Linked DNA regions of Ovis aries. The protein of the gene in region 2 interacts with the protein of the main gene of each other region in a pairwise test. Links are inferred from orthologs where the notes say so. Each region holds a gene or a part of one and is shown on either strand. Other genes may lie near its edges.

The links. The genes of interacting proteins can lie anywhere in the genome.
Region 1: the proteins of LZTS2 (region 2) and MORF4L1 interact in binary tests that used the Homo sapiens proteins (3 or more experiments, as listed by UniProt). The two-hybrid records come from large-scale screens. The link is inferred for Ovis aries from reciprocal best matches to the Homo sapiens genes LZTS2 and MORF4L1.
Region 3: the proteins of LZTS2 (region 2) and FAM161A interact in binary tests that used the Homo sapiens proteins (3 or more experiments, as listed by UniProt). The two-hybrid records come from large-scale screens. The link is inferred for Ovis aries from reciprocal best matches to the Homo sapiens genes LZTS2 and FAM161A.
Region 4: the proteins of LZTS2 (region 2) and TRIM29 interact in binary tests that used the Homo sapiens proteins (3 or more experiments, as listed by UniProt). The two-hybrid records come from large-scale screens. The link is inferred for Ovis aries from reciprocal best matches to the Homo sapiens genes LZTS2 and TRIM29.

Annotation. Positions count from the first base shown.
Region 1 is NC_056071.1:22,937,586-22,942,340, reverse strand, and holds the start of MORF4L1 (mortality factor 4-like protein 1), read right to left. Parts: upstream 3,380-4,755; 5' UTR 3,312-3,379; coding exon 3,272-3,311; intron 1-3,271. UniProt on the Homo sapiens protein: Component of the NuA4 histone acetyltransferase (HAT) complex which is involved in transcriptional activation of select genes principally by acetylation of nucleosomal histones H4 and H2A.
Region 2 is NC_056075.1:21,594,766-21,600,129, reverse strand, and holds the start of LZTS2 (leucine zipper putative tumor suppressor 2), read right to left. Parts: upstream 3,346-5,364; 5' UTR 3,246-3,345; exon of another isoform or gene 2,976-3,245; intron 2,753-2,975; exon of another isoform or gene 947-2,752; intron 572-946; exon of another isoform or gene 471-571; intron 383-470; exon of another isoform or gene 206-382; intron 1-205. UniProt on the Homo sapiens protein: Negative regulator of katanin-mediated microtubule severing and release from the centrosome. Required for central spindle formation and the completion of cytokinesis.
Region 3 is NC_056056.1:46,300,783-46,305,616, reverse strand, and holds the start of FAM161A (protein FAM161A), read right to left. Parts: upstream 3,380-4,834; 5' UTR 3,295-3,379; coding exon 3,097-3,294; exon of another isoform or gene 3,090-3,096; intron 1-3,089. UniProt on the Homo sapiens protein: Involved in ciliogenesis.
Region 4 is NC_056068.1:30,424,921-30,429,569, forward strand, and holds the start of TRIM29 (tripartite motif-containing protein 29), read right to left. Parts: upstream 3,380-4,649; 5' UTR 3,212-3,379; coding exon 2,408-3,211; intron 1-2,407.

The sequences.
Region 1 (4,755 bases), on a different chromosome or scaffold from region 2:
GCACCAAAGATGGGAGACCAGTGCGCCTAATTTTAGTCTTTCTTTAAAGGCTCCCTGACAACAGCCTTACCACTGTCTCCCTCGTTTCGGTTGCTGCCACCAAAGACAACCACACTGAGGCTAAGGCCCTTTGACCTCCATTCTAGCTACCTATCCCTAATATCTCGCTGAAAAAAATATACATTAAGCTGAGGAATATGACCCAGCAAAACAAGTGCCTAATTTCTCCTGGAAGTGGAAAGACTGTTAATTGGGGAAGGAGCAAACCACTGTCTCACTTTTTCTGAACTTTTCCATCCTTAATCCTTAATAGTATTCAAAATGTAAAGCTAATTTTGCTCAATGCTGTCAAATTCAACAGTGATGAGATTCCAATTCCTCATCCTCTCATTGGTTTTCTTACTAGGAACACTACTCAAATTCCAGCATCAGCCACCCACCCTCCTGACAAGCCAAAAGGTCTTCCCCTCCCCACCCTACCCCCCACCACACGGGTTAGATGCCCAATAGTTTTCTTTACTTTTTGCTTTAACACTTCAAGTGGAAGAACCAAGTGCAGTGCAGAACAGTCACTGTGCTGAAAAAATGCTTGTAACATATGCTGCACCATTATTTAACAACAGAAATTTTCAAGTTTAAAAGAGAATCGGAAAAAAACTTTCCCATCATTCGTATTTTTACCGTCACATTAGCTCAATTCTTCTGCAGTGTTTTAATATAATTCTGCTAGTTCCTACAGAATATTCCTTTCTCCTTACAAGATATTCTCTTCTAAATAACTCAGTCTTGTCCAACTCTTTGCAATCCCATGGACTGTAACCCACCAGGCTCCTCTGTCCATGGAGATTTTCCACAAACACACTGGAGTGGAGCCTTTCCTTCTCCAGGGGCGCATCTCTACCCACGCAGAGAACCCTCAGCTCTCCCCTTCTCCTCCACTGGCAGATGGATTCTCTATCACTAGGGTCACCTGGGAATCCCCAAAATAATAATTTCTTAAAAGATGGTTATACAACCCAACTTTGACACAGGAGTAGAAAACACGTCTGCAAAGTGCAAAGACTCAGGTAGCTTTCAAAACCATAGCGCTACATTGGCTCCTTTTGCTGTTCAGTCGCTCGGTCGTGTCTGACTCTTTGCGACCCCATGGACTGCAGCACCGTCAGGCTTCCCTGTTCTTCACTATCTCACTATCTCCCAGAGTTTGCGCAAATTCATGTCCACTTACCTCTGTGATGCTATCTAACCAACTCATCCTCTGCCGCCCTCTTCTCCAATTCACTGCTACAGCAGCATATGGATCCTCCCTCACTCTACCATCCTTTCCAGTTTAGAACTAAAGCACTTCCTCCAGAAAGCCATCCTTAACTGTTCCAAGTCTGTGTCGTTTACCTTTGATGTCCTACAGTGAGGATAAATTTTTTTTGTGCAGTGGACCCTTCAGTCCGGTTAAGTCTTTGGGCCTTTTCTCAGAATGTTTCTACAAACATGTAAAACCGTACTACAAAAGAAACGAACTATATTGAGACAGTTATAAAAACACTTAAAACATCATGTGTTATGGTATTATATGAGCTCCTTAATTGATACAATAAACATTTAGCTGCTGATCCAGGAAACTACCACAATTCTGAAACAACGAAAAGCATACATCTGAATGTATCTTCTGCAACTTTAATGCTGGGATGTGAAAACATTACAGCTACTACTACTGTGGGAGGGTCTTGTTTTGCTTTTCTGTGGGGGAGGAAATCTACAGTCATAACTGTAGATTTAATTTTAGTTAGAAAATCGAAAAAAAACTCTTTCCTGTCCAAGTACAAGGGGTGTTCTGAATTATAAACACCCTAGATCAAGAATCCTTGCTCTAAAACATCTGATTTTTTAAAAGCAATGCAAGCAATTCACAGTAGTCGTCACGTAGCTTCTCAGAGTGAGAGAAAGCAGGTATTAAGAGCCAGTTACAGGGAAAACACCCGCGGCAATCTTTTAAATATTCCATTGTTACAATACGCTTGGATTTTGTGTGTATGACTCAAAGTAATTCTAACGCATATCAAAGTTTGAACATCCCTACAATTTTTTGCAGACGTCTCGACATCCGTGGTATCTAACACGTACAACCACAATAATGTGAATGAGCATTTTAAAGTGTTCTTGCTTGCCTTACATAATTTTATATCCACTTCAGTTTACTGTTAAACCTCCACTATATAAATTAACAGATGCAGTAATAGTGAAAATTACAGAGCTGTCTTCCTCTGGAAATCAGGCTCTCTACAGTCAGCCTTCACGTTGATCAGAGACAATAAAAACTCAACTTTCAAATCACTGTTAATCAATTATTGCAATTAACCAAACCACTGCCGTACTTAAAAGGCTGACATCAAGACAACGGGACTTCACATAAATGAGGTAGTAACACCGCATTAAAGCAGTTTTTCATTACTGCTTTACAAGCCACCGCGCAGCCAGAGCGCGTTCACGTTCCCATAGGACACCAACACTCCGCTTTTCCGAGAGCAAAGGGATGCCTTCGGGCGACACAAAGCCGAGTGAACGCTCGCGCTTTTCCCTCCTGTCCCCACCCACATCCCCGGGGCCAGCGCCGAAAAACCGGTTCCCGATCTGCGGCGGGGGAAGAAGGGGGCGCTCCTCTGCCCTAAAGCGGCGTCTGCGGCCGCGAGCCGTGGATCCAGGCGCCGGCGGCCATGATGGGCCCGCCATCTTGCAGCGGCCATCTTACAACGCAGTTCTCCCGCCCCGAGAAGCGAAGCCAACCCCCTCCAGCCGCGGCTCCGCGGCTCCACCGCGAGCTATCCGCTCGCGGCTGGAGGTCGCCGCGGAGCGCCAACCCTCGGACGCCCACGCGGACGGGAGCCCGAAACGGCCGCCGCCGCCTCCCCTCCCCCACGCCACATCACTTCCCCTAACGGCCGCCATGGCGCGCCCGCCGCCTCCCTACAATAGGCTACTTTCTCCGCGCCCTCTTCCTCTCAACGACAACAAACACAGCACCAAGGCTGTGCCACGAGGCAACGGCTCCCTCTCGCCTTCTAACGCCTGCCTAACGCTTTCGCCTCCCAAAGTGTTTTTATCCTCACGAAGCACAGAAAAACCTCGCCGCAATGCGCTTTCTCCGCACAAAGCCCTGCCCGCCGCCGCCTGGGGACACGGCCCTCGCCATCCCCAGTCCCCAAATCTCAACCGTCCCGAGACCGCCTCCCTCTCCGGGCCGTTAGATGCTTTGTCCCCAGGGGATCAAACTCACCCTCCTGGAATTTAGGCTTCGGGTCCTGCTTCGGCGCCATTTATAAAAGATTCACCGCCGCCGCCTCCTCCTTCTCCCACCACCCCTGACTACCGCCCCCTACTCTCTACCCCACCCAGCTCCGCGTCAGACGCGCCGTCAGGCACCGCCAACTCTACATCCTGGGCCCGATTTGCCAGCGCCCGCAGACCGCCCAGCACCGCGACCGGCCCAACTGCTGCTCCAGCCAACGGCTGCCCGCCGCGCACGCGCCCCTGCGCCCGCGCCGCCCCGGGGCACGCTGGGATTGGTAGTTCCGAGGCGTTGGAGGAGCCGAGGGGCGGGGGCGGGGCGGTGGCCTCCTCCCCTCCCCCACCCCTAACCCCCTGCCCCACCCCCATCCCCGGGGGCGGCGGCGTTTTTACTTCCTAGATTTGATTTTAAGTTGTTGTCGGAGTGAGGGACAGCAAGGCTTTGCCTAACCTGCACAAAAGAAGGGGAAAGACTGAGTTGCGGAGGTCCATGGGCAATATAGGGCCGCAACGATATGGGCTTGGGAATGGCCAGAGAGAAATGGCGGCCTCTGAAACCCCTTTTCAGTAGCATGTTGAGCAGTTTCTGCACAGGGAAGCTTCAGGGCCAGCAATCTTGGCTAGAAACGGGGTAGTTCATGGAGTCTGCGTCTGGATGTTTCCTCGTTCAGCAAGCTGGGTCCTGGGCCTCCCCTTCCCCACCCGAGACCTGCGGAAATGGCACGAAGCGGGCGACACGGGGCAGGCTGAGGGGTCGACCTCTGGCTTTTAGAGATGCTGGAGCTCGGCTTGCCGCCGAAAGAGGCGACCGTGAATAACACTACACCTACACCGTACCGACGTCGGGGTTCTGCACCTGCCCTACTTGTGCAATTTTTTGTCACCTAGTTGTTGTTAGGGCACAGTTAGTTGCTGTTACTGAATATACACGAGTCCGCCTGCAGTGCAGGAGACGCGGAAGGCGCAGGTTCGATCCCTGAGTCGGGAAGATCCCCTGGAGAAGGAAATAGCAACCCACCCCAGTATTCTTGCCTGGAGAATTCCACGGACAGAGGAGCCTGATGGGCTCCAGACCATGGGGTCCCAAAGACAGAGACTGAGCACTAACTATTGAATATACACAGGATTTAAAGGAATTTTCTCCCGTGGTTCACCTGTTCAAAAAGTCTGTCGTGTGCTTAGCTGCAAAATGGGGAGAATAAGGCCACCTTCCCATGGGTTTCCTGTGAGAATTGCACAGACAGGCTGAATGGTGAACTGGCGCTCAACATACAGTTAAGGAGGATACAACCCAAAGTCCTTACCTTGGCGTTTGAAGTCCTTGCACAAACAGCCCCCAACCGTCCCTCCAGGCTTTATACTTGTCGCCATGCCTTTCTAAATTCTGCCCCGCCCCGTGAACAGACTTGCACCCCATGAGTTCCAGATCCCTCTCCATTTATCTGACTCCAGTTTCTCCTTCAACCTTCCCTT
Region 2 (5,364 bases):
AGAGAAAAGGAGGGGCAAGTGGAGGCTCCATTTTGAGAAATGCGTTTGTGGCTGTGAGACGGGAACCCCTCGCACTCCCCAACATCCTTGGGAAACCGCTCTGGCACAGCACACACTGCCCGGCTCGGTGGGCCGGGGGCGGTTGAGGGCTGGATGCAGCCGGGGCCCGAGGGAGGTCTGGCCGAGGTCCGAGTTTCCCACAGACCTGTTTCGGGGGCAGAGGAGTTCGGGAAAGTCTCCCCCTCACCAAACTCCAGGACCATCCAGCGGGATCAAGTCTGAGATCACGAGTTTCCATTACAAGACAGGAAGCCGGGAGCCCCCAATCCGCCCTCCGGAGTTCACCCCCCTCCTTCCGCCTCTTCCAGAAAGTGGGGGCAGCTGTGGAATGCCGCCTCCCCACGGGACCTCCGCCGCGCAGAAGTTGGGGGCGCCCCCAGGTCGCCTCCCAGCCCCGGCCCCCCCCTCACCTCCACCGCGCCGCTCCATGCTCAGCCCCGGGCCGCCCCCAGCGCTCCACAGGCGCGCCGCGCGGCTCCAGCCTGCCGCGCGCCGCCACTCGGAGCGGCCCGGTCCGACCCGGCCCCGCCTCCGCGGCGCCCCCAGCCCGGCCTGGCCCCCGCCCGGCCCAAGTGGGCGGTGCAGCGCGGGGGAGGGTCCGAGGGGTGACCCCGCCCCCGGGGCGCGGACACGCGCAGGCACCCGGCGTCACGCGTGTCCGGCGGGGCGCACGCTGGAGCTACGCAGCAGGACTCAGATTCCCTCCCTCCGAGGAGCGATGGCTGTGTGTCTGGGGCTCGGTCGGTTCAGGACTAGGCGGTGGCGGGTCACCCTTTACCCTTACTTGGGCCCCGGGGCCAGCGGCAGCTGGTCATTGTTCGAGCACAAAGGGCCAGGCGCCGCGGCAGCCGCCCTTCCCCCTCCGCTCCTCTAGTCGATGCCTCACCCCTAGGCACACTCTCCGGCTTCAGAGTCCAGAGAAGGAGGTTGGGGGTCACCTAACCCCCAAGTCTTGGCCCTGCGTCCTGGCACAAGTCGGGGGCCGACGCTTGGTGGGTGCCTGCCCCACCCCCAGCCGCTTGCAGAAGGCACGCTAGGATTTGCGGAGGCGGCGCCACCTGGCGGCCCGTTCGGAGAACACAGCCACCCCCAAACTTGGGGGGCCCCTACCCTTCTCCCCAGTGCTGTACTCCCTCTCGGGAGAGCCCCGGCCTTCCTCGAGCGCGGTTCTTTGCTCCCCAACCTTCCCTCAGACTCATTTGCTAAGAGGTAAATGCTCAAGAGAGAGACGTCCCCTGGGCCCCCAAAAGTCACCCCAGTGGGGGAGCTGGTCCAAACCTACAGGCCAAGCTTACGCCAGCCTCACAGCAGACAACGTTCCACTGTCTTCTCAGGGTCAAGAATACTCTCACCCTCTGGCAAACAACACAATCTAAACACCCACACGACCTTTCCCACACTCAGTCTCAGACACAATCACTCAGTCTGTCTGGTCCATCAGAAGGATCCATGTCCCTTCTTGCCATAATCAGGCCAACTCAGAGATACACACTTGGTATCACGGCTAGTTGTGCACAAGCTTTCACAGCTCAAGTTCCTTTGCACCCAGTCACAGTCTTGACTATACTTGCCTCCCAAGCTTTTTTCACACTATGACAGTCTTTTTCACAGTCACAAAGACAACTTTTTAAACATACACGTCGTATTTCACAAACATTTTATCACACAGACTTTCCCATAGGGGTTTCTGTGACCTAACCAGGTCAGCTGATGCCCGCATCCCTGGGCAAGGACAGCCTCCTGCCCCCTAACCCCGCCCCCCAGAACTAAGGCCTGCCAGAGCTCCTCTGCCCCAGGAAGGAGCATTCCCCCCGCCCCGCCCCCCCCTTCCAGGCCGCAGCCTGGCCGGCTCTCAGTTCTATTTTTAGCTCCATGGAAAGAGTTGTTTTCTTTCTTTTTCCCTGGAAAGGGAAACATAGCCCAGCCACCCTCAGGCTCACCCTAGACCCTCTTGCCTCACAAGTACAGACTGAGCCCCACCCCCATAGAGACCCCCTCTTCTGGCCTTGCCCTGATCCCAGCCTCCTGGGGCACCAGGAGCCTCCTCCCCTTTCTGGCAGCCTGCCCAGAAGCTCAGGCAGCAGCTGGGCTCAGCGTGTGTGGAGGGGTAGGGAGGGTGGTGGAGAGGGAGGCCGAGGGCCGCTGCCCACTCTCATTCGCTGGGGGGAGGGGGCCGTGCTCCCTTCTACCAGAGGGAGACGGGCCCACTCTGGTATAGAGAGGATGTGTACGGTCATGCATTCTCTGGGGAAGGGGGACTCCTACTCTTGCGTGAGTGGGCTTTCTGCTCCTACTTTGAGGGGAGGAGCTCCCAGTGCCGCAAGGAGGAGTGTAGTAAGAAAGGGGACCCACAGGCGTTCGCGCAGATGCTCCCCGGGGCTGGAGGTCCCGGCGGAGGCTGCTGTACACTGCCAGAATTGCCCCCCTCTCGGGTATCTTCAGGAATGGGGGCAACATGTTCCGGAGAAGGAAGGTGAGGAGCCCAGGTAACCAACCCTCTCAGTCCAACAGTCTGTTGTCCTCCTTCGCTACCCCAACTCCGGGGGGCGTTGTGCTCCCATTCCTGGGGAAGGGCTTATCCCCTCCAAGGGGAGAATGGAATACAGCCCGGCAATGTATCTTTCAAACTCGCTTAGTACTGCGGAGGGAGGTTCCCGCCGCGAGGCTCCCCCCGTACAGCCCACGGGTCTGCGAAGCGATCACGTGCTCAACGCCTGTTTACGTCTTAGTCTTCACCTGCGGGCAGCAAGGAAGCCGGAACCTCCGGAGGCGTCCCACCTGGCCCGCCCCCGTCCGCGGTCACTGGGAGGCCCTTTTCTCCCACCCTCACCAAGTACGCGACGGCAGCACACCCTGCCCGCTGGGGGTCCGCGCGGGCCAGCGGCGCTGATCCGCCAACAGCAAGCGAAACTCACTAGGCGCGTCCGCCCCGCAGTGCACGTGTATTCAGGTGTCTCCAGTACGCGCGTGGGTCTGTGTGCACGCGTGTGTGCGCCCGTCGGTGTGAGTTTTCGTGTAGGTTCCCTGTTCAGACTCTTCGCCCGCGGCCCCTGGACTGAGGACCCGTCTCTTCACCCCAATCCCCGGCTTCCCGGGATCGGGAAATTTCACTCCGGGGCGGGGGTGTGCAGGAGGCGAGAGTTCCTACACCGCCGCGGCGCCCCCACTCACTCACCCAGCGCTACCTTAACCGCCGTTCCAGCTCCCGCTGGGCTCCTGACCCAGGGCCGGCACCTCCTGGTCGCAGATCCGCCGGCTCCCCAGCGCGCTCGGCCCGGGCTTGGTGGAGGGGGCGGGGCGGCTGAGGCCGCGCCCCCGACCAAGGCAGGGGAGTGGTCTGCCCAGCACCCCCTCAGCAGCAGATCTGGTACCCTGCCAAGCAGTGTTGCGACGGTGGCCCAAGACTGCCCCTCGGACTTCTGACTTCGCAGCTTCTGGAACTGGCTTTCGATCTAGGAAGGGGCCAGCGGCGCCACAGCTAAGCTAAGCTACCTGGCTGCCCTAACCAAGTTGGCTATAGGGCTTTACTGCCACTATCCTCTGGTCTGTAGGGAGCCCAGCCTGGTCCACTCTCAGCCCACTCCCCAGACACAGGGAAAACCCCTGGGAAGCAGACGAAGAAGGCTCGGATTTCACCGAAACAGACCCCACCCTTCCTCACACACCTCTGAGGTTGGGGCTGCTCAAGCAGAACCAACACCTCCCCCTCCCCTGGAGTAGGTGTCTGCCCGGTGAGCAGGCTTGCCAGTTTTGCCCCCCGCCCCCCACCAGAGTGTAGTCAGGCTTCTCTTAGACTTATAAAGTTCCACCCACAGGCACAAACAGGAAGTTGACCTGTATTGCACCAAAGGGTCCCTCCCTCCATGGCACCCAAGGCAGCCTGTGGGAGGGCAGACCGTGATGTCTACAGGTATTTGGGTCATATCTGCAGCCTGAGTACTTGGGCAGCAGGAGCCCTTTGAGTTGAGTCTCTTCTGAGACCCATCCCCAGTGAAGGGATGGAGGACCAAAGCTGCCCCCTTACAGGCAAGGGGGTTAGAGAATCTGAGGACAAGCCTGCAGATCCAGCTGGATTCTACTGGGCCAGGCTCTCCCTCAGCTCTCAGGAAGATTCCAGTTGGGCACAGGCCGAGTACTGGTTCTAGCCCAGGCAGTTTGCCTCAATCCTCTTAGGTGGGGTATAGAAACAGTGACTCCTAGGGACCTTACATAGGACCCAGGGATTAACTGCTACTTTTTGGGCTCCAGGGGCTCTTGAAATACTTTGGGCTAATTTTCACGTGAGGGGTTTAAGACAGGTGTGTAATGGAATGTGTGTGTGTGTGTAGGGGTGGGGCTGGGGGATCATTAGCTTCCCCTCCTCCCTACCATTCTGGTTTGCTGTGTAGGCTGTCTGCTAGAAGGGTGGGGCAAGACAGGCAAGTGTGTATCTATCCCTCTATCCCCAATTCATAGACCTCATAAAAGTCTCCTTTTGGAAATCCCTGAAAGATTTCCTGAGCACAGAAGACCAGAATGTGGAACCCACATCCTTACAGGTAGGACTGACCTGGTAGTGTGCATCTGGAAGGCATGGCTGACGTTTAACGTTATAGACCCTGGATGAGGCCTAGACCAGCCAGCGGCTGGGAATGATTACTGCAGGATTAGGAGGACTGGCTCCAGCCAGTCTGGGAGAGACCCCCAAGAAGGGAGGCCCTGGAGGAGGTCCCCCTTCCCTCCCCCTAGAGAACAGCTTTGTTCCAGGGTCTGTTTCAGGAAACAATTGTAGTCACAGTTCTCACACACAACAGACCAGAGACCCCAAACCATTCCACAGGGTTCCAGACCTCCCTCTTAGGTTGATAAGGAATGCTTGAAAAGGCAGCCTTGCTTCCAGGAAGCAGGACCCCCCCCCCCCCATCAAATACCCCCCTTAACAAAAGGCTTCTCCCCAGCCCCCTTCGAACATCTTGCATTCTCACTACTCTTGCAGGCAAATCTAAAGGGAAACGGACTTTAGAATATCTGAGGAAGTGACATGGGAAAGTGTTATCATTTAGCAATATTTCTGACATGGTCTCTTTCTGCATAAGTTATTTTACGATCTCCTTCAGAGTTTCTTAAAAACAAGGAGTCCTGCAACCTCTCCTGAAACCTCCAGAATCAGAAATGCCCATGTGTCAGGATTCGGGGAAGAGTAGGGCCTAGGGACTGCATTTTTAAACAAGAAACCGAGTTCTAACACACACTAACATAAGAGAAACCTGGAGAGGGTACAAGAGAGGGAAATGGAAGTGGGTGGGGAGCAGATAAGAGTATGCT
Region 3 (4,834 bases), on a different chromosome or scaffold from region 2:
ACAAAGCAAGACCTGTGAACTGATATCTCCAACTGAGGCTAGATTCAAAAAATATGCCTTAATGCCCTTATATGGGCACAGAGTCCTGCAAGGGGTGTATATGGAGCCATGGAGGCTTGGGAGAAGTGCCTTTGGCAAGCCAAAGGATTTAAAGGGGCCTACTATGACAGTAGATGGGGAAACAGTGGAAACAGTGGCAGACTTTATTTTGGGGCTCCAAAATCACTGTAGATGGTGACTGCCGCCAAGAAATTAAAAGACGCTTACTCCTTGGAAGGAAAGTTATGACCAACCTAGACAGCATATTAAAAAGCAGAGACACTACTTAGCCAACAAAGGTCCATCTAGTCAAGACTATGGTTTTTCCAGTAGTCATGTATGGATGTGAGAATTGGACTATAAAGAAAGCCGAGTGCCGAAGAATTTATGCTTTTGAACTGTGGTGTTGGTGAAGACTTTTGAAAGTTCCTTGGACTGCAAGGAGATCCAACCAGTCCAACCTAGAGGAGATCAGTCCTGAGTGTTCATTGGAAGGACTGATGTTGAAATTCCAATACTCTGGCCACCTGATGTGAAGAACTGACTTACTTGAAAAGACCCTGATGCTGGGAAAGATTGAAGGTGGGGGGAGAAGGGGATGACAGAGGATGGGATGGTTGGATGGCATCACCAACTCAATGGACATGAGTTTGGGTAGACTACGGGAGTTGGTGATGGTCAGGGAGGCCTGGTGCGCTGCAGTCCATGGGTTGGAAAGAGTCAGACATGACTGAGCAACTGAACCGAACTATGACAGTTAGTTCTACATAATCAATTTTGTGTGATGGCTATGGTAAGCTGAGTTAACTCCATTTTATAGACGACAAAGTTGAGAGAAACTAGCGTTTAAAAATCAAGGTGAGATATCAAGCCAAACTGTGAGGAAGGTAAAGCTTGTCTGCTGCACTTTCTTTCTTGCCTTTCCAGTGCTTTGTCTGCCCACCCCAGTGTCTCCATCAGGTCTACTGCTATGTGCTGCACGCTAAGTCACTTCAGTCGTGTCAGACTCTTCGACCCTATGGACTGTAGCCTGCCAGGCTCCTCTGTCCATGGGATTTTCCTGGCGAGGATACTGGAATGGGTTCCATTCCCTTCTTCAAGGGATCTTCCTGACTCAGGGATCAAATCCACGTCTCTTACATCTCTTGCACTGGCAGGCAGGGGGTTCTTTACCACTACTACAGTGGCAGCTGATCCAGATTTCCTTTTGGTTCCTTTAAGTACTGTGGTCTCAGAATAGCGTTAAACTTAGCTTCCTTTTTTCTTTTTTAGTGAGACACTGTCCCTTAGAAACTAGCTTATTAGATAAACTGATCTCTCCTAAGGTAATATTTCTAATACAAATTTGCAATTTTACAGGGTACTCTGGAAGTATACTTGCAACCACAGAAATGACTGACTTTTCCACTACAGCAAGCCAGAAGAGAACTTAATCTCCTGTTCTCTTTTGGATAGGTGTTCAAATAACAGCCCCACTGGCAGCTGTTATTATTATTACTAATTTATACAAACTGTCTTTTAGCTATGACATATGCTCTTATTTCGTTCTCATAATACCCCAGTGAGAAAAGAAAGACAGTTATTTTAGAGCTCTTTTATAGATAAGGAAACAAACTGAAAGAAGTTACATCTTAATATTAACTAGCAAATGAACAGATCCTAACCCAGGACTCCAAATTCTTCTCTTCATTCAAATCATTTTTCAACATCAGTCCACCTCCTTCATTGGGTATTGAAATTTGAAGCTTTATCATGAATGAATTTGGTTGTAGGTCACTCATTCTGGTTGAAGTTCAGGGTCTTTGAATCTGCTTTACTCTGGATAACCTCAAGCAGTTTATCTGTTGGTAAAATACTGCCCATAAAAGGTGTTACTACAGATTTTCTCATTACCATTTCTAGTGCAGATTAAAGAAATTAGAATTCCAAAATATCCAGTGATTTCTAATAGCCTTAGACCACAAGATCCCCTGGAGAAGGGAAAGGCTGTCCACTCCAGTATTCTGGCCTGGAGAATTCCATGGACTGTATAGTCCATGGGGGTTGCAAAGAGTTGGACATGACTGAGTGACTTTCACTAGACTACATGTTTTTAACCTAAGATGCTTTGAGCAAACAGTATTAAGAATTTGGGGGGACTTCTCTGCTGGTTAAGACTCTGCACTCCCAATGCAAGGGCCTTGGGTTCCATCCCTGGTCAGGGAAGTAGATTCTGCATGCCACAACTAAAGAATCCACACAAAGGTTGCATGGAGGCAACTGAGTCTCAGCACAGCCAAATAAATAAATATTAAAAATAACAAAAGAATCTTTACCTGGGGTTAAGAAGGTTTATACCTGCAGATTGCTGGTTAAAATTCAAAGTTCTCATCTTTTAAGGGAATAGAGCAGATGGCAGACTTGGCCCCCTACCTGGCAGACAGGTGTTCACAAAACACTCGACACTGAAAATCGATCTGTGAAAAAGCTGTTTCTCCTCACTCTGAAGAGCCGTGTGGCAACACTGGAGCCTCAGTAATTTGCTTCTCTGGAGGCTTAACTCTGTTTCTGATCTCCCCACTAAACTCCTGCTGGTTTTAACCATCATCTCTCATGTATTGTATTAAGACGCACTAATAACCAAGACATTGAAGTGACAACAAAACACACCTGACAACACAGCTGATTCACTTGCGTTTTTTGGATTATTCTCTGTAGGACAGCACAGTTTTCCTCGAGTTGAAAGGAAAAAGAAAAAAAAAGAAAAGAAAAGAAAATACCTACTCCCAACAGTTGCTGGAGCATAAGAATAAATTTCTGTACTTTTCATTAGAAATAGCGTAACGTAAATGCCCTCCAAGAAATTTTTACAACAACCTCTTTGGTTAAAAGACTTTTCAACGCCTCGGTTTCGAGCATTTTCCGTGAGGACCCAGAGGACTTGGTGGGCCAGGCTCACCTGTACGGGTCAGGACAGGGTTCGCATTTCCCAGCCCGCGCCTCACCACCGGGGGTCGCCGATCAGCCTCCAATTGCACCCGGCGCCCAGCCCCACCCCACTGCCCTCCCCTGCATTACCGGCGCCCGCGCCAGCCGTGCCGCCGCCTCTTTCTCTTCTTCTTCTTCCTCCTCTTCCTCCATGGCCGCCGCCGCCGCCGACAGGGAATTCAAAGGGTCTTTGCGTTCGTACTGGGCGACCCGCGCTCCGGTGTTGGGATTGACCGGGGTTTGGAGACTTCTGGCCGCCAACTTCGCCGCTCGGTGCGAAGCAGCCATCACCGCGCCGCCGAGGCCTGAGCGCCCGCGCTGGCCCGGGGCGGGGAAGCCGGCGTGGCCGCAGGCGCCCGATTGCTCTTTGCTTAGGGTGGTGGTTACTAGGGGCCCGGTAACTAGGGACGCTACAGGGGCCGCGAGGGGCCAAAAATCACTTAAAACCGGCGCCCGCCGCGGGGCCCCTTGGATAGTGGGAGTCAGTATTGAGTCTTTGCTGGTTTAGAGGATTGGTCGGGGGAATAGGGCACCTGGTCCCTCTTCTTCGCATTTCACCCCCTAAATGCAGACTTCTCACATTACACTAATGAAACGATTTGTGCTGTGGGGCTTTTTATTCATTGAAATAATATGTTTGGAGGAGGTGGCGGCGGCAGAAGAAAGCAGGGCGTGTTATCGTGTCGCGGTCTCGGGACAATGGTAACGTTTGCATCCCGCGACCTAACATGGCTCTCCAGCGAGCCGGAGAATGGGAAGCCGTGAGTTACTTTCTACCCTGACTTGAAAGCTAACGGAAGTCGACCAATCTGGAGGAAGGTGGAGCCTGGTCCACCCACCAGTGACTGAGAGTGCAGGTGTGTGTGACCCGAACGTTTGCTGCTTGGGTTCCTCCGCTTTATAGTGGTGGGGATCGGAAGGTGTAAACGCCCACCAGTAGCCACAAACAAGCCTCATCTCCACCTCACCCCCAACAACGTCTCCCACTTGGGATTTGGGCGCTTCAGATGACGCCTTGCCGCTACACCAAGCGCCTGTAAAAGAAGCCTAGCCTTAAAATATCAGGCGTGGTGGTGGTGCTGCTGCTGATGATGCTAAGTCGCTTCGTGGTGCAGTGTCAGCCAAACCCCTACTTCCTGAGGCTGAGGCCCCAGCCACCCCCCACTCCTGGCCCTACAACCTGCTGTCACCACCACAAAGTTAGGGTACGCAACGCGCAATATCCAGACCCCTTCTCTGAAGTCTGAACCAAGTATTTCTTCCATCAGGAATGTAAACACTTGCGAAACACCCTACTCCCTCACCTTTCTGCAGGCTGCTCTTTGTTTTGGCTGAGGATTTGCTTTGACCACTGGAACAGACACCGGCTGGATTCTTAGCCAAAGCTAGAGTTGGAAGCCCATGAGGTATGGACGCTGCAAATGACCACAGAAGGGACGTCCAGGCGTTTGCATGCAGCGAGTTCTGTGGCTGCACGTAACCCTCTTGTGATTTGACCCCGACCCCAAATCAGCATGCTGAAACACTGAAAATAGAACATTAGAAGAGAGTGGAAAAGAAGCAGTAAGTGTGGAGGACATATTGTATGTGTATGTAGAAGAGCAAAAAAGCTTCCACTCGTGAGCAATATTCTAAATTTGCAGTTATCTTTTAAACTGTTTTTACTGAAAAATAGTTGATTTACAATGTTGTGTTAGTTTATGTACAGCAAAGTGATTCAGTTATATATACATAAATTTGCAGATATCTAATAATATAGCCTCAAAATATATAGAGCAGAAATGGACAGATCTACAAGAAGAAAATGACAAATCTTATCATCGTAGGA
Region 4 (4,649 bases), on a different chromosome or scaffold from region 2:
CTCCTGAATCCCATCCCCCTTCCCCCAGTTGCTCTCAAACACTGGAAGAGGACTCAGGGGGCTTCTTCCTTAAGCACTGAGCCTGGACATGTCCCTTCCTTCCTCTGGGTCTGTGTTCCCATGCAAGGTGGAGAGGAGATGGCAAGGTTGCTCATTCTCCATCCAGCCTAGCATTCTGTCCTCTGCAAGTTGATGTTTACTTACAGCCGCTGCTGTGTAACTAGGCGGATGCACCCCAGACTGGTCTGTGCGTCTGAGCTCTGCCTCTTGACCTACATCACGAGCCCTAGAGCATGAACACCAAGTCCCAGGTGTTGCCAGAGAAAACTGCCCAAGACTGTCCTGTCCTCTGGGGCACTCAGGCTTTTCTTAAGTGGAGATACCCTGGTTTCAAATAAAATTTGGAACCAAGCCCTACACATATAACAGATAAATAAGAGTTGTTGCTGTTCAGTCACTAAGTCGTGTCCAACTCTTCTGTGACCCCATGGACTGTAGCCCACCAGGCTCTGCTTCCATGGGATTCTCCAGGCAACACTACTGGAGTGGGTAGGTGCTGGAAAATCCCATGGACAGAAGAGCCTGGCAGTCTGCTTACAGAGGGTTGCAAAGATTCAGACATGACTGAGCGCCAGCATGGCACAGCTGCTTGCAGTAGCGATAGGAGCCTGCAGCCCTGCCTTCTGGGCGTCAGTTTGCCCCCCTCCTCATCCCTGAGGTCTCAGAGATATTCCTAAGAATCTTCAGGCTCCAGGGGGTCATTTGAAAACTTCCAATCTAGTCCAGTCCCTTAGTTTCATGTGAAGAGAAACCAAGGCTGAGAGAACATAAGGGACTTGTCCACTGTCTTAGAGCTGGTTCGAGGAAAAACTAGAACTGGAGCTGCGTCTCCTAAAACCCAGCCTGGGGCTCTGCAATTTCTTGGTTGTGGTGGTTGAGGATAATTACCTGCAATCTGTTTTGATTCCCTAAGTGAGACCCTGGAGGAGATCCATGGCCCCTGCTCCAGCTCCATCTCCCTGTCTGAAGCCTGAAGCCAGGCTGGGGTCAGGGAGTTAGGGAGACTAGGACCACCTTTCTTTCCTGGGCTAAATGAGGCTCCTGAAAAGGCTCTTTGAGCCTTTTGTCATCTCTGACTCGTCTCTCCTGCCCAGGAGTATGGATAGGAAAGAGTGACCCACAGACTTCAGGTCAGGAGGGCTGGGCACAGAGGGGGGCCTGTGCTGCCCCATTCTGTGGGGTGCAGAAAGCAGAGTCCCCTGCCTTGACAATGAGCATGGCTGACCCCAGCTGGAGGACGCACCACATCAGGGGGCTGTGTTGTTGTAGAGGGAGGAGTCCCAGTATCTGTACAGCCACAGACGAGCCCTTATCCCAGCACATCCTCTCCAGGAGTAAGGCGTACCACATTCACAAGCCTCCACACGCCTCTGCTCCTCCCCGCAGAAGCACAGGCAGAATCACGCACACAGAACACATGCGAACACACTCACATGCCACATAGACAGTCACATGCAAGCATCCATACACAGACATAAGCACCCACGTGCACAGAAAACACACACACGCACACACATGTACACCCCTCCCCCCGACTCCAACCGCCACGAGTGTCCACCTACAGGCAACGGCCACACACACAAAGCACTGAGCGTCCAGCTGAGGGAAGGATAAAGGAGGCTGCTGGGAGTGTCAAGACTGGCTAGGGGATCAGACAGAACAAGAAGGAGCCACTGCCTACAGAGACCAACTCCGAGGTCAGGGGAGAAAGGGCCTTGACGTGGTCCCCAAATTCCCTCCTCCTTACCCATGACTTATCCCCACGAGCCAGTCCTCCTCAACTAGGAAGAATTCTCTCTCCATTAAGTAGAAAGAGGTGGCTTTCCCAGTGGCTCTGATAGTAAAGATTCTGCCTGCAAGGCAGAAGACTGGGTTTGACTCTTGCGTGGGGAAGATCCCCTGGAGAAGGAAATGGCAACCCACTCCAGTATTCTTGCCTGGATAATTCCATGGATAGAGGAGCCTGGTGGGCTACAGTCCATGGAGTCACAAAGAGTTGGACACGACTGAGTGACTTAGCACCGAAGTAGAAAGGAAGGAAGAAGCACCCAGCCAGGCAGAGAGCCCAGGAAGGAATGCTGATCTCCTGGCCTGACTTGAACTTGTCCTATGACCTTGGCCAAGCCCCCCATCTTTGCTGAGCCCCTCTTTGCTCATTTAGGAGATGACTTGACTCCTGAGGCCTTAGAGGATAGGGGAACCATCTCTGACTCCCAGTCTGGGGGTAGGAGGGGAAAGGACTGTTTTCTGAAAGAACCAGGAACAGCAGAGAGGTAAGCCCCAGACCCTGGGAGCGGCCGTGGAGCAGGTGCGGTGGGAGGGCACTGCGAGGGCGGCCAGCTCTTACCTCCTTCTCGGCCTTGGCCTCTTCCACGGTCACGGTGCTGTGGTTCTTGTGCTCCTGGAACATGCAGAGGTAGCAGATACAGGTCTGGTCGGTCTGGCAGAAGAGCTCCATAGTCTTGCCGTGCAGGGGGCACTTGCGGGCCTCGAAGTCCCGGATGGGCTCGAGCAGCTGGTGGTCGCGGAAGGCGGCGCCCTCCAGGTGGGGCTTGAGGTGCAGCTCGCAGAAGGAGGCCTGGCACACCAGGCAGGACTTGACGGCCTTCTGCTTGTTGCCGATGCACGAGTCGCACAGGACCTCCTCGGAGCCCGACTTGGAGCGCAGGAGGGTGCTGGAGTCGCCCCGGGGGTAGCTGTTCCGCCGGACATCTCCGGGCTCCAGGATGGACACCGAGGGCTTCCGAGGCTCCGAGAACATAGACCTGCGCGGCTCCCCCTTCTCGGCAAAGGAGACAGGCGGCTTCTTGGCAGCCCCCAGCTGGAGCCCGGCGTAGGGCGACCTCCTGCCTTCCCCAGAGTCCATGCTGAAGTAGCTGGAGCCCTTGTCATCCACCGACTCGACAAACTGGATAATGGGCCGCCGCCACTCGCTGCCGGAGAACAGGGAGCTCCTGCCTTCGCCCGGCTTCAGGGCGCCGCCTGCGCCCTTGCCCTCGGCCACCTCCCCGCCGTGCCCATTGGCAGTCTTAGCCTCTTTGTCTTCAGCTTTGACCCCATTCTCCAGGCTGCCACTGGGGCTCAGGGGGCTGCGGACATCCCTGACTTCAGGGCTGGCCCCGTTGCTCCTGGAGGCGTCTGCAGCTTCCATCGCGGCTCACCTGGCTGGTCTTTGAACGCGCTGGGGGTTCAGGTGGGTGACCTCTCGGGCAGCGGCGTCTCTGCAAGAGTGAGACAGGCAGCCACGGAGCCCGAGACACACCTACCGGGAGCCAAGAGGAGGGCCTGACACAACGGGCGGGCAGGAGAGGCAGGCGGCTCCCAGAGCCAGCAGAGCAGCTAATTATACAGAGGGGCCACGCCCTGCACATTCATACCTAACCTGGTTTTTTAAAGAAGTGTTTTTATTCTTCCCCAGTTTAATTATTTTCCACAGCTCAGCAACCAGTTGCTGCTTCCTTCTGATACACTTTCTTCTCATCAGGAAAGCGGGAGCCTCTGTCCTCGCAGGTGGGCAGGCTTCGCTGAGCCAAGCCAGCCGTGGGACAGAAGGTGAGGTGTCCACAGAGGCCCACAGGACTCAGGGCTATTTAACTGGGTCACACAAGCCAAATAATCTTGAAACGTGATGGCCTGGGTTTCAGAGGAATATCCCCCTGCCGCCCTGAGACACTGGAGTTGCTTCTTATCTTTTTTTTTTTTTTTAATTTCCATCAAAAAGTTTAGTACTTTTTTAAATTAGAGGATAATTGTTTTACAATATTGTGTTTGACTTCCTGTCTTAAAAGGAATGGTGGGTTCCACTTGATTTGGAGCTAAAATTTCAACCGAAGGCCTTTGAGAACCAACAGCCACCTGACTATCTCAACGGAAGACAGATTCAGGAAGTCACGTCCCACCCAGCAGCCCTAACAAGATGCTTACGGCTTTATGTTATTTCTATCAGAGCAAGTTAGAACCTGCTTGGATCCAAGGGACAGGGAGACAGCAGTGAGGGACAGAAACGCAAGCAGTGCCAGGCCAGGCGGCAGCGTCCTCAGGGCCCCCACCAAGGGAAGGGCTGTGCCTCTCCCCGGCCGGGCTGGACTGGACAGAGCAGAGGTGGGAGTGGCTGGGGTGGCAGGTTCCAGGCTGTGTGTAGGGGAGTGGGTTTCCTTCCCCTCGAATCCAGGTCAAACTCTGGGAGCCCCCGCCCCTTTGGCTCACCAGGCCGAACAGCTAATCCTCTGCAGCAACAGCTCCTGGGAACGAGAGCAGAGACAAGCTTAGCTCCCCAAGCAGCCAGAGTTTTAAGAGGAGGTGTGGGGGCGGAGAGTGCTGCTTCATCAGGGGGATTCCCTCTCACCTTGTGTCTCCGTTCTCAGGCTCCACAGGAGCCCCGACTCGTTTGAACTCACTGGTGAGTGGTCTAAGAGTTCGTGGGGGCTCCTGGGGGCAGGAAACACTTTCTCAAAAAGTCTTGCTCAGGACTTCTTTGGTGGACCAGTGGCTGAGACTCCGCACTCCCAAGGCAGGGGACCCAGGTTTTACCCCTGGTCAGGGAACTGGATCCCACATGCCACAAAACTAAAGATCCCAAATGCCACAAC